Linked DNA regions of Mus musculus: all the other regions are reported to be linked to region 3. Evidence: microRNA targets listed by miRTarBase, many of them from high-throughput screens and not tested one by one. Region 3 holds a microRNA gene; each other region holds the end of a gene's coding sequence.
The links. Region 3 holds the annotated microRNA mmu-miR-542-3p (UGUGACAGAUUGAUAACUGAAA, at 1,382-1,403, opposite strand). A microRNA usually pairs through its seed, bases 2 to 8, with sites in the 3' UTR of a target mRNA and lowers its output. Matches are read on the target gene's strand: a 7mer-m8 pairs with bases 2 to 8, a 7mer-A1 pairs with bases 2 to 7 and ends in A, and an 8mer does both.

Region 1: the mRNA of Vps33b is a reported target of mmu-miR-542-3p. Seed matches in the 3' UTR shown: 8mer at 463-470.
Region 2: miRTarBase lists Plekhf2 as a target of mmu-miR-542-3p. Seed matches in the 3' UTR shown: 7mer-m8 at 2,348-2,354.

Annotation. Positions count from the first base shown.
Region 1 is chr7:80,290,816-80,294,074 of GRCm38, forward strand. It overlaps Vps33b (vacuolar protein sorting 33B), which reads left to right. Exons shown (of 23, transcript NM_178070.4): 23 at 300-764. The coding sequence ends at 379. Among named protein-coding and RNA genes, the nearest start is that of Prc1, 2.0 kb to the right of the region's middle.
Region 2 is chr4:10,987,773-10,991,031 of GRCm38, forward strand. It overlaps Plekhf2 (pleckstrin homology domain containing, family F (with FYVE domain) member 2), which reads right to left. Exons shown (of 2, transcript NM_175175.4): 2 at 890-3,259. The coding sequence ends at 2,819. It also overlaps the pseudogene Gm2401. Among named protein-coding and RNA genes, the nearest start is that of Plekhf2, 18 kb to the right of the region's middle.
Region 3 is chrX:53,048,034-53,051,292 of GRCm38, forward strand. It overlaps Mir542 (microRNA 542), which reads right to left and starts at 1,454; the gene lies at 1,370-1,454. It overlaps Mir450-1 (microRNA 450-1), which reads right to left and starts at 211; the gene lies at 121-211. Mir450-2 (microRNA 450-2) reads right to left here and starts at 334; the gene lies at 266-334. Mir450b (microRNA 450b) reads right to left here and starts at 45; the gene lies at 1-45.

The sequences.
Region 1 (3,259 bases), not on the chromosome of region 3:
ACTCACTTTGTGGACCAGGCTGGCCTCGAACTCAGAAATCCGCCTGCCTCTGCCTCCCAAGTGCTAGGATTAAAGGCGTGTGCCACCACTGCCCAGCCAACAACTGATAGTTTTATTTTCTATTTTTCTCCTCACTTGTTGGGGACAGGCAGGTCCAGATGTGTCTATGCCCAGATGTATCTGTGCCTGTAGCCCTGCATTCTGATCCTGGGGCACTGAGGCGCTGTGGGAGTGGTGGGCTTGGCCTGTTGGGACCTGAGGTCTATTTAGTCACTTCTGCTACTTCTCTTGACTCTTAGGGTACAGATTTATTTTTCTGACAACTGCTGTTACAAACAGTGCTCGCCTCATGGAAGCCATGAGTGAGGTGAAATCCTGATGTTTTCCTGGCCAGTGCTGAAGTATTTCCTGATTGTGGATCCCAGTGAGATGCTGGTGTTTGGCATCTACCTTCTACGATTCCTGTCACACACACACACACACACACACACACACACACACACACACACATATACACATACACACACACACATACACACACACACACACACACACACACACACACACCCCAGCTACACTTAATACTCAGAGCTGGGAACTTTGGAACTAATTTTGGGGGAGAGAATTCATGTCCTATCCTCCAGGATACTCCTCTTGCTTATAAATTGTATATAGTTCATGCTGCTAAGATATGAGGGGAGAGGTATTCTTTGCAAATCCTGTTTGAATATTATTGTAAATAAAGCCTCTGTTCTCTCTCTCTCTCTCTTTGTTTTTTGTTTGTTTGTTTGTTTGTTTGTTTTCAAGACAGGGTTTCTCTGTATAGCCCTGACTGTCCTGGAACTTCCTCTGTAGAGTAGGCTGGCCTTGGACTCAGAAACTGCCTGCCTCTGCCTCCTGAGTGCTGGGATTAAAGTGGTTTTTAAACCACTGCTGGGCACCTCTGTTCTCAAATGCAATATCTTTGTAGTCCTAGACATACAATCTCCTTTTTTACATAGTGAGACTTTCCTGGGGGCTTCATGTGCTTCATGACCTGGACTTTCATTGTTTACTCTTGGAGGAGGTTTGGTCTGTTGCTACATATTGTAATGTTAAATTTTGTACCAGGAGTGAGTTCTCACATTTATCAACCTTTGTTGTACAAACCTTGCTCCTTAATTTAAAACTATTGGTTAAATAAAATGGAACAGCTAATTACTGGAAGGATTAGAGATAGGTGGGTTTTGAGTTACATGGTTGGAAGTTGCAACAAAGGAGAAAGAAAGGAGACAGAGGGAGGAGGAAGCCACTGTGAGGGAAGATGGACCATGAGCACAAGGCCAGGAGAAGCGGCAAGTGTCTGGGATACACCACTGGGGAGGTAGTGAGGCTAGCAGTTAGAAAAGTAGATTAGGGGTGACTGCCAGTAACTGTCATAGTCAAATAAAATAACCATAGCTGGGTCTCATTCTTACGTAAACTAGACAGGGATAAGATTAAAATAGTTCAACGATCCTGGGCCTACTCCGTTTTCCCTGGAGGGAGTCACTAACCTCCCGTGTATAGGAGGAGGAAGGCTGCAGTGGCCCACAGTGGTGCACACACGCCTTCCCATCCTAAGGTTCTGTGCTCCAGTACACTTCCAGAAGATAAATGTGTTACTGCTCTAACTTAAACAGACAGGTTTACTTGTTCCTTTTTTGAGACATGATCACTGGCTAGCCTAGACTTATGTAAACCAGGCTGGACTCGAAGTTATCATGATCCTCCTGCCTCTCACATGTTGTAATTACAGGTTTCTATTACTGTGCCTAGTAAATAAAATATTATGTTTTGTTTTCTAAAAGTAAGAAAAAAATCTTTCTGATGACAAACTCAATGACTTTCTATAATCCCAGCACATGGGAGGCTGAGGCAGGAAGATGACTGACAAGTTCAAGACCAGCTTGGGCTATGCAATGAGTTTCATGCCATCCTGGTGTACAGAATGACACCTTGTCTCAGAAAAAACAGGTGTGTCAGGGTGTGATAGCGCTTGGCTTGCTAGGGTGTGATAACCCTAGCACTCAACAAATAAACAGGCAAATAAACAAATATCTTTATAGTTGTAATTTTACTACTGTTATGAATCAAATATCTGTTATGTAGGATGTCTGCTATTCTACTCCTGTGATAGGGCTATTTGACACCCCCCCCCCCCCAAAGGGCTCAAGACCCACATTTTGAGAATCACAGCTTTGGATTCTACTTCCTAGACCCATGCAGTGGGAGGAGAAAACTGAATCTTTTAAGTTGCCCTCTATTCTCCACACATGACCACCCCATATACACACACAAATTTAATAAATGTATTTATCATAAAAAAGAGAAGCAAATAATGAGACTCTTATAGATGGTACAGTTGACCAATACAGAAAAGCAGACAATTTTAGTTATAATTCAGTATAAACTAGATTTTGTTTTATTTTGGGCCTATAGATGGAAGCTAGTGGTTTAAAAGCGCATTGCTAATCACCAGTGCTGTGGGTAACAAGGATACTCCAGGTAAAGTTTGGTGCAGAAGATAGGTTAATAAGTACCTCTTCGCAAAGGAGAATTCAATAATTACACTTCTACAAATCATTTTGGAGGAGGTAGCAAAAAAGAAATTCATCTCAGCTTTATTACAAATTTTAGTCTGAGTAGCAAAGGAGATACTCCCATAGCAGTGTATTAGGTAATAGTAAATCATTGAAAATGGGATACAGATGCTATGGGTCAGTGGGAAGAAAAGGACACACAAATACTTTGGTTGTTTTTTGTTTTTGTTTTTTGTTTGTTTGTTTGTTTGTTTTGGTTTTTCGAGACAGGGTTTCTCTGTGTAGCCCTGGCTGTCCTGGAACTCACTTTGCGGACCAGGCTGGCCTCGAACTCAGAAATCCGCCTGCCTCTGCCTCCCAAGTGCTGGTATTAAAGGCGTGCGCCACCACGCCCGGCTACACAAATACTTTGATGTCATGTTCAAATTGTGGAGTTTTCCTGATTTACCTAAATCTTATAATGTGCAAGAAAAACAAAGCCCAAATCACCATTTGCTCACAGCTAAATTGGGCAAGTCAGTTTTTTCCTGTAGCCCAAACTATTTCCCTGTCCTGTCTCTGCCGCCTACGTTCTGGAAAAGCTACTCAAATCTTTTTCTTCAGGATAGTGATGATCATTATTAACAGGTGTGTTCTAATGATTAAATGCGATAAACTTGTCCACTAAGGTACCAGGACCAAGAGCCTGGTTTTTTTTT
Region 2 (3,259 bases), not on the chromosome of region 3:
ATCAGAGAGTCCACCTAAGCATACACCTTGCTTCGGGTGGCTGCACCAATCAGCCTTTTTACCACATTGTGGTTGCTCACAAGTGTTACAGGAATGGCCACTTCTGGAGCAATTGGGCTCCGATGATCCACTGCCCAAAAGTAACGGAGAAAACTTTGTTGCCCTCAACCTGGACCAGATCCGGCTTTGGATTGGCTGTGGGGCTCACTTCTCTAAGCCTACAGAGAAACTTCTGGGTCTTTCTGCCTCTCCTCTCCTCCACCCTCCACCACAATCAGATGATGATCACCAACTTGGAGACTGCAGAGGAGGAGAGCAGGAGAAATCCTCTTGGTGTCTCAGAAAGCAGAATCAGAGCCCAGAGAGACAAGCAAGCCGACTTTAGCAAGCACAGCTGTGTTGCCTCAAGGTCAAGGACCTGTAAAACTTGTGCAGAGTTTTGTATTGGGTTTGAGGATCAATAAACAGAGTTTCCCAAGTCAAAAAAAAAAAAAAAAAAAAAAAAAAAAAAAAAAAGCAATTCTGCCAATCCTGCATCAGCACCTCCTAAAGAGTGGACAGGGCTGGAGTGTGGCTCAGCTGGTGGGTGCTTGCCTAGAAGAACGAAGGACCTCAGTACTCTGGGTCAGTCCAGCCTGCTATTCTAGTCCTCTGGATGTGGAGGCACGAGGATCAGTTCAAGGGAATTCTCAGCTTCGCAATTAGAGCTACTACTTGCTACATAGTCCGTTTGAGGCCAAAATAGGTCTATCTAAAAACAAAAAACTATTCTTCATTAGTGTCTACATCCTAAGCATTCATATCTAATATATACTAAGGTGGAATTATGCATAATATCTTAGTTAGAAAAGGAAGAAAATATTCAATTACAATATAAAAACACAGGAAATAAGCTGCAAAATATTTTTATTGTAAAAACAGTCAACTGAGGTCGACAATGCAAATGTTATCTCAGGACATTTCCCCTTGGTTTCTGAACTTCCAAGTTCCCATCAGCATTTCTCTGGTTTTTATGGTCCTTTCAAACATGCTTACTGACTGCATGTATATGCTGCTCTGAGACAAACACAAATCCATCCATCTGATAGTAAAACCAAACAAAACAAAAAGCAGGAACAAAGCCCCTAGCCTGGTTCTATTGTGCTTTTTTTCACATTTCCTACAGGGAGACCTATGTAGCTCACACACTTTCAAAACTGAGCAGCAAAGTAAAATTAGTACTGTAACCACAAAGCCAAATACCAATGACTTTCATTCACAAGTTACTGACTCAAACCCTAGGACATCTGCAGAATTATGCAGGTTTTAAAGTTTGAAAAAGGGAAACTGGGTTTGAAAAGAACTCTGAAAAAAAAAAAAAAACAAACCAAAACAAAACAACAACAAAACAAAACAGACCTTTCAGCTTGGTTTCCCACATTTGAAAACCTAGTTACTTAAGCATGCCAGGGGCCAGAATGTGCCTGGCACGTCCAGTGCTATGCAGTAAGCAGGCCTACAGCCTAATGGCTGCCTCCAAACATAAAGAGAATAACTACCAGTTCTCAAAGCAATCTCGGACAATGGTCACAATTTAGAAATATCAACTGCTACTCTATTTCCATATATTGCAAAATGATTTCAGAAACAGATTAAACATACAATTGTTTTACAAAAATAAAAATTGTTTGGGGCTTCATGAACTCTGTAAAATACAATACCACGTTGTAAATCAAGATAATTTCACAAAAAAAATTGACTTGCAGACAGGAAACCTAGTCAAACTCCGATCTCTTCCAGATCTCTAAGACTCCATGTTCTCCTGGGAGGATTTTCTTAAGACTTTTCATTTTTGTCAGGTGGTAGTGGTGCCTGGGGAGGCAAAGGCAGAGGCAGATGGATTTTTGAGAATTCAAGGCCAGCCTGGTCAACAAATCGAGTTCCAGGATAAGCAAAGCTACACAGAGGAACCCTGTTGGAAAATATAAGGGTTTCCTCAGATTTTTCCTTTTAGAAATAATGTAAAGCAAATAAAGTTATTTGTAAAAATATATCAGGAAAGTAGAAGCTAGTGGGATATGCCACTTCTATACTAGTGATGAGTTTCAAATCGAATCCCGAACAGTGGCAACGGGCTAAACATATGTGACCATTATAATTTGGTGCATAAAAGATGTAAAAATATAATCACAACTATTTTATGAAAAATATTCATATAAGATTGGAGAAACCTCTAAATTTAGTTCCTCATAGCTGTCAAATAAATATGCTTACCTATATCCATCAAACACTCATTCTCCACCTGTAAGAGCACCAGTGTGTCTAAATCAATCAAACAAGAAAGAAGGTAGGGCTTACGTTTATTTCAGTGACAGTGACACTGCTGCCACAGTAAGGCACCACTTGGTATTGAGAAAAGAGAATAAAGGATTTCCAAACCATGCTCTGTCACTGGTGTCGTAACCTTGACATCGACTGCTTGGGGAAAAGCCAGATACCAAGCACATCATACTCTTGTTCCCATCATTCTGTGCTTTTAGATTTTCCACATCAGGGGGAAATAAATGTAATACAAGATCTGTTAAATAAACATTCTTTCCAACTTACAAGGAAATAATCTAGAAATAAGGACAGTAGAAAGCCAAGACCCTATCGGATGTATCTGCAAGTTTGTCCCTGTGAGAGAGTGCAGAGGGGAGCAGAAAGCATGGGGCTGCTTTCCATAGGATACAGAGAGGCACAGAGGTTAAGACTTCTCAGGCAGTCATGGCTAAAGCAAACTGAGAGCGCCCCCAAAGCTGACTCTCAGGCAGTCAATTAAATACTTCACAGCATATCCTTAGTCACTGCTATCATCATCGTCGTCGTCATCAGATGCATCATTTAAAGGAGACTTCAACGACTGACTATAAGAGTCTGATCTAGTCGGCTGACACGCGGCCATGTCCCCCGTGGAAAGCAGGTCATAGCAGAAGTCACAAATCCGCACAGGCTTAGAAGACTGGCTGGGAAGAAGAAATCGCTTTTCAGAGCAGGGACCACAAACAACAAAGCCACATTTGCGGCAATGGTGCCGCCGATTGACTGGTGTGAATTTTGCTTTCTGACAGCGCATACACACGGTGGCCTCAGAGTCAGGAACCCAGACAGCAGCATGCTCGTTGCTGGGCGTCTTCCCACTTTTGGAGAGTAAATCAGTGACACACTTATTTATGTGATTCATCCACTCTGACTTCTCCGTGGCAGTGGCAGCATAAACTGCAAACGACTTAGTCGGTGT
Region 3 (3,259 bases):
TTATGTTATGTATTCAGGAACATACTGCAAAAATAATTCTGTATCTGATTCCTATTATAAAAACAAACCATAAACAACTATGGTTAGACTTGCAGCTTCTTTCTTCCAACCTTTTGCCTGTGTATTGACACAAAGCTATTTATGCAAAATGTTCCCAATATAATTATAGCACATATTAGGAACACATCGCAAAAACAGCTCAGTATCTCTCTTTGGTCACTGGTGGTGCTACAGCTTGGAGGTGACTGTCCATATGATGGATGCAGAACCATGAATGCAAAGCATCCCCAATATACTCATAGTACATATTAGGAACACATCGCAAAAATAGTTCAGCATCTTGGTTTGCCTTTCTCCTTCCTCTATCATTCAACCACAGCATCAGTCCCCAGCATATTTGTTCAATAACATTAAAGCACAACTCAGGATAACTATAATATTTTGATCTGTTCTCTTAGCCTTATATCTGTATATTGATCCCATGTATGTAAAATTAAAACGGAGAAGAAAATATTTTGCATGTTTATCATTAAACGCTTTTTATTAGTGTTTGTGGCACATCTTTATGTCACAAAAATTATTTTCAGAAATATCAATCTTAATGATAGCATCCTATCACATTGTCTTAGAAGAGCATATTTTATTTATGCAACCCTTTACTATTAATAAGTCATTTTATCCTCAAAATGACTGAAGTGAAGGGAGGTGGTAACCCCAGTGACATAGATGGTGAGGCAAATGAGCCACAGATGCAGATTCCTCCTGGCAGGCCTAGAGAGTGATTTAAAGCCAGCATGAGCAAGTTAGTGAGGCCTAGTCTCAAAAAAAAAAAAAAAAAAAAGAATTGCAAGCAGGTATGATGGCATACACTTATAATGCCAGCCCTTGGGAGGGGGAATTAGGAGGGGAAGGAATTCAACATGAGCCTCTGCTACACAAGTTTGAGTCTGGGTAACATAAGATCTTGCCTCAAAAATAAATAAATAAATAAATAAATAGTAATAAACATCCTGATGTTTTTTCATTTTCCGTGACTTTCCGTGGCTTGTATATTTATCTTCATGGCTATTTATATGACTCCACATTTTTAAGGTAACCTGTTTTTCTAAAGCTTACAGCTAATGTTTTTCTTGTTTGAGGAAAAACATAGTTTTAATATTTTAGCCTATATATAAAACCATATGTCCTGTCTAGGCTTCAGTGGACTGAATAGAAATGCAAATTAATAAAACCCTTCTCATTCTATAAAAACACAACCCATACCCTCCCCCACTCCATGGCAACCCCTTTCCTCCTTGCCTAGGGCTCAGTCCTCTCCTGACCTCTCATCTCTGTAATACTCACCCCACCAATTCTTAGGAAGAGGAGTGGCTCCCAGACCTTTCAGTTATCAATCTGTCACAAGGGCACAGTGGTATCTCGTGACATGATGATCCCCGAGACGTCTGAGATCCCTGCATGTGTAACCTCAAATTTCTGGATCTCCCAGTACCCTTAAAGACCTTTTAGCGAGTAGCATTTCACAATGGGACACAAATCAAAGCACAACAAAACAAAGAAACAGCAAAACTGTGAAGATGGGGAAAAAAAAACAAAACAAATAAGCAGCTAACCAACCTACTACAAATTCTGTTTTTAAAAAGTCTCTTTGTTTTGCAGTTTCTTTCCAGTTTCTACTCTACTTTCAGCCACCAGAGTTAGTGTAATTCTGTGGCCTTGATTTTTAAAAGCTTGTTATCTTAAGAATGTTTCTAAGTTTCTAGGTAGTTTTTATGATTATTCACAATGACTAAAAACGTTCTTTTGAGGATGCCACTAAATTAATCTCTATGGTTAGTTCATATTTGCTCCCTTAATTTACTTGAGTCTATAGAAAGGATCAAAGCTTTAAAGTGAATTCACTTTACAATTTTTAAGCTTGTACACATTGAATCATGCATGGGTAGGTGACTTACAGTCATTACTTAATCATGAAGTCAATCTTGAGCCTCAGTTAGGAAGTGTCCAGCAGTTAGACTCTCACTCGTCCTTCTTAGGACTAGACAGTTTCAACTAGACCTTTTCTAACCAAACACACTAGTTCAGCTCCATTTTCTGTCCTAATCACTATGGTGTAAGCTTCTGATGGCCAGGCAGGAATGTTACCTGGCACAGCATGAAGTCTGCATGATGCAGTTTCCCAGGTTTCATCTTCAGAATCCTCAGGTCTCTCGAAACTTTGTCTGCCTTACTTATCTCTCAAAGTTGTAAACAACAAATCTATGAAAGCAGTTGGGGCCGTAAGTGAACAGAGGAAATGAAGGCAAGTGCTGAGATGAGGATTGTAAAGATTTGGTTTCTAGGGCACAAACATTCTGCCTTCACTCTGCAGAGTGGAGGTGGGGGAGGGGTAGCAAAAGACCCGAAGGAAGGAGTCAGGCTGCAAAGCAAGCAGTATTCCCAGCCCCCAACAATGCCCCCGACTTGGAGCTGGGGAGGGGAGCGGGAGGGGGGGAGTGCGGCGGAGGGGGCGGGAGGGGGGCACGCTTTTCAATTTTCACCACTTGCTCCGAAGACAGAGCTCAAGAGTAAAGGGGAGTGCTCCAAGGCTGAGGGACCACAGGAAATGGAAATCGTTAGAGGCTCCTCCCACAAGGCTCTAAGCCCCTTTAAACTTGAGGAGGATATCAATTGTGGACCCAGTGCAGGAAACAGATGAGTGAAATATTAGGACAGAGCCAGGAGATCCTAGCTCAATGGATGGGCATAAGGCAGGCTGAACTGGGCCTCGGAGATACAGATTTGCTATGATTGGTGTATACATACTGTGTTTCGTTTTAAGAGGCATACAATAACTCTACATAAAGATGAACGTATAAGTTTCTGGCATCATGAGAAATGCTTCTGGACAACGGGAAAATAGATCTCTAGAAATTAATGTTAACTTGGTAATGCCCACAGCTCAAGTCTTTTGATCTCTATCAATATATATTCATTGATCTTCCTGAAGCATACTTTTTGAACCTATTTGTATTTTTTTTTTAATCTGCACCGTCTCTCAGGAAATCTGCCTATTAATTAATTTATGTCGTGTAGATTCATCATGTTTCCCTTGCTGTTCCCTCCTCCTCAATGGATTGACAGGTATGGTGCTTTAGAATAATCAGTAAAATAATGGGCATTGCAGAGTCCTTCTTGGGTGTTTGTTTAATTGGACAGTTGCCCATGTTACTGGACATCAAAAGCAACACAGAATTATTTGGTCTCCCAGCACTGGAGT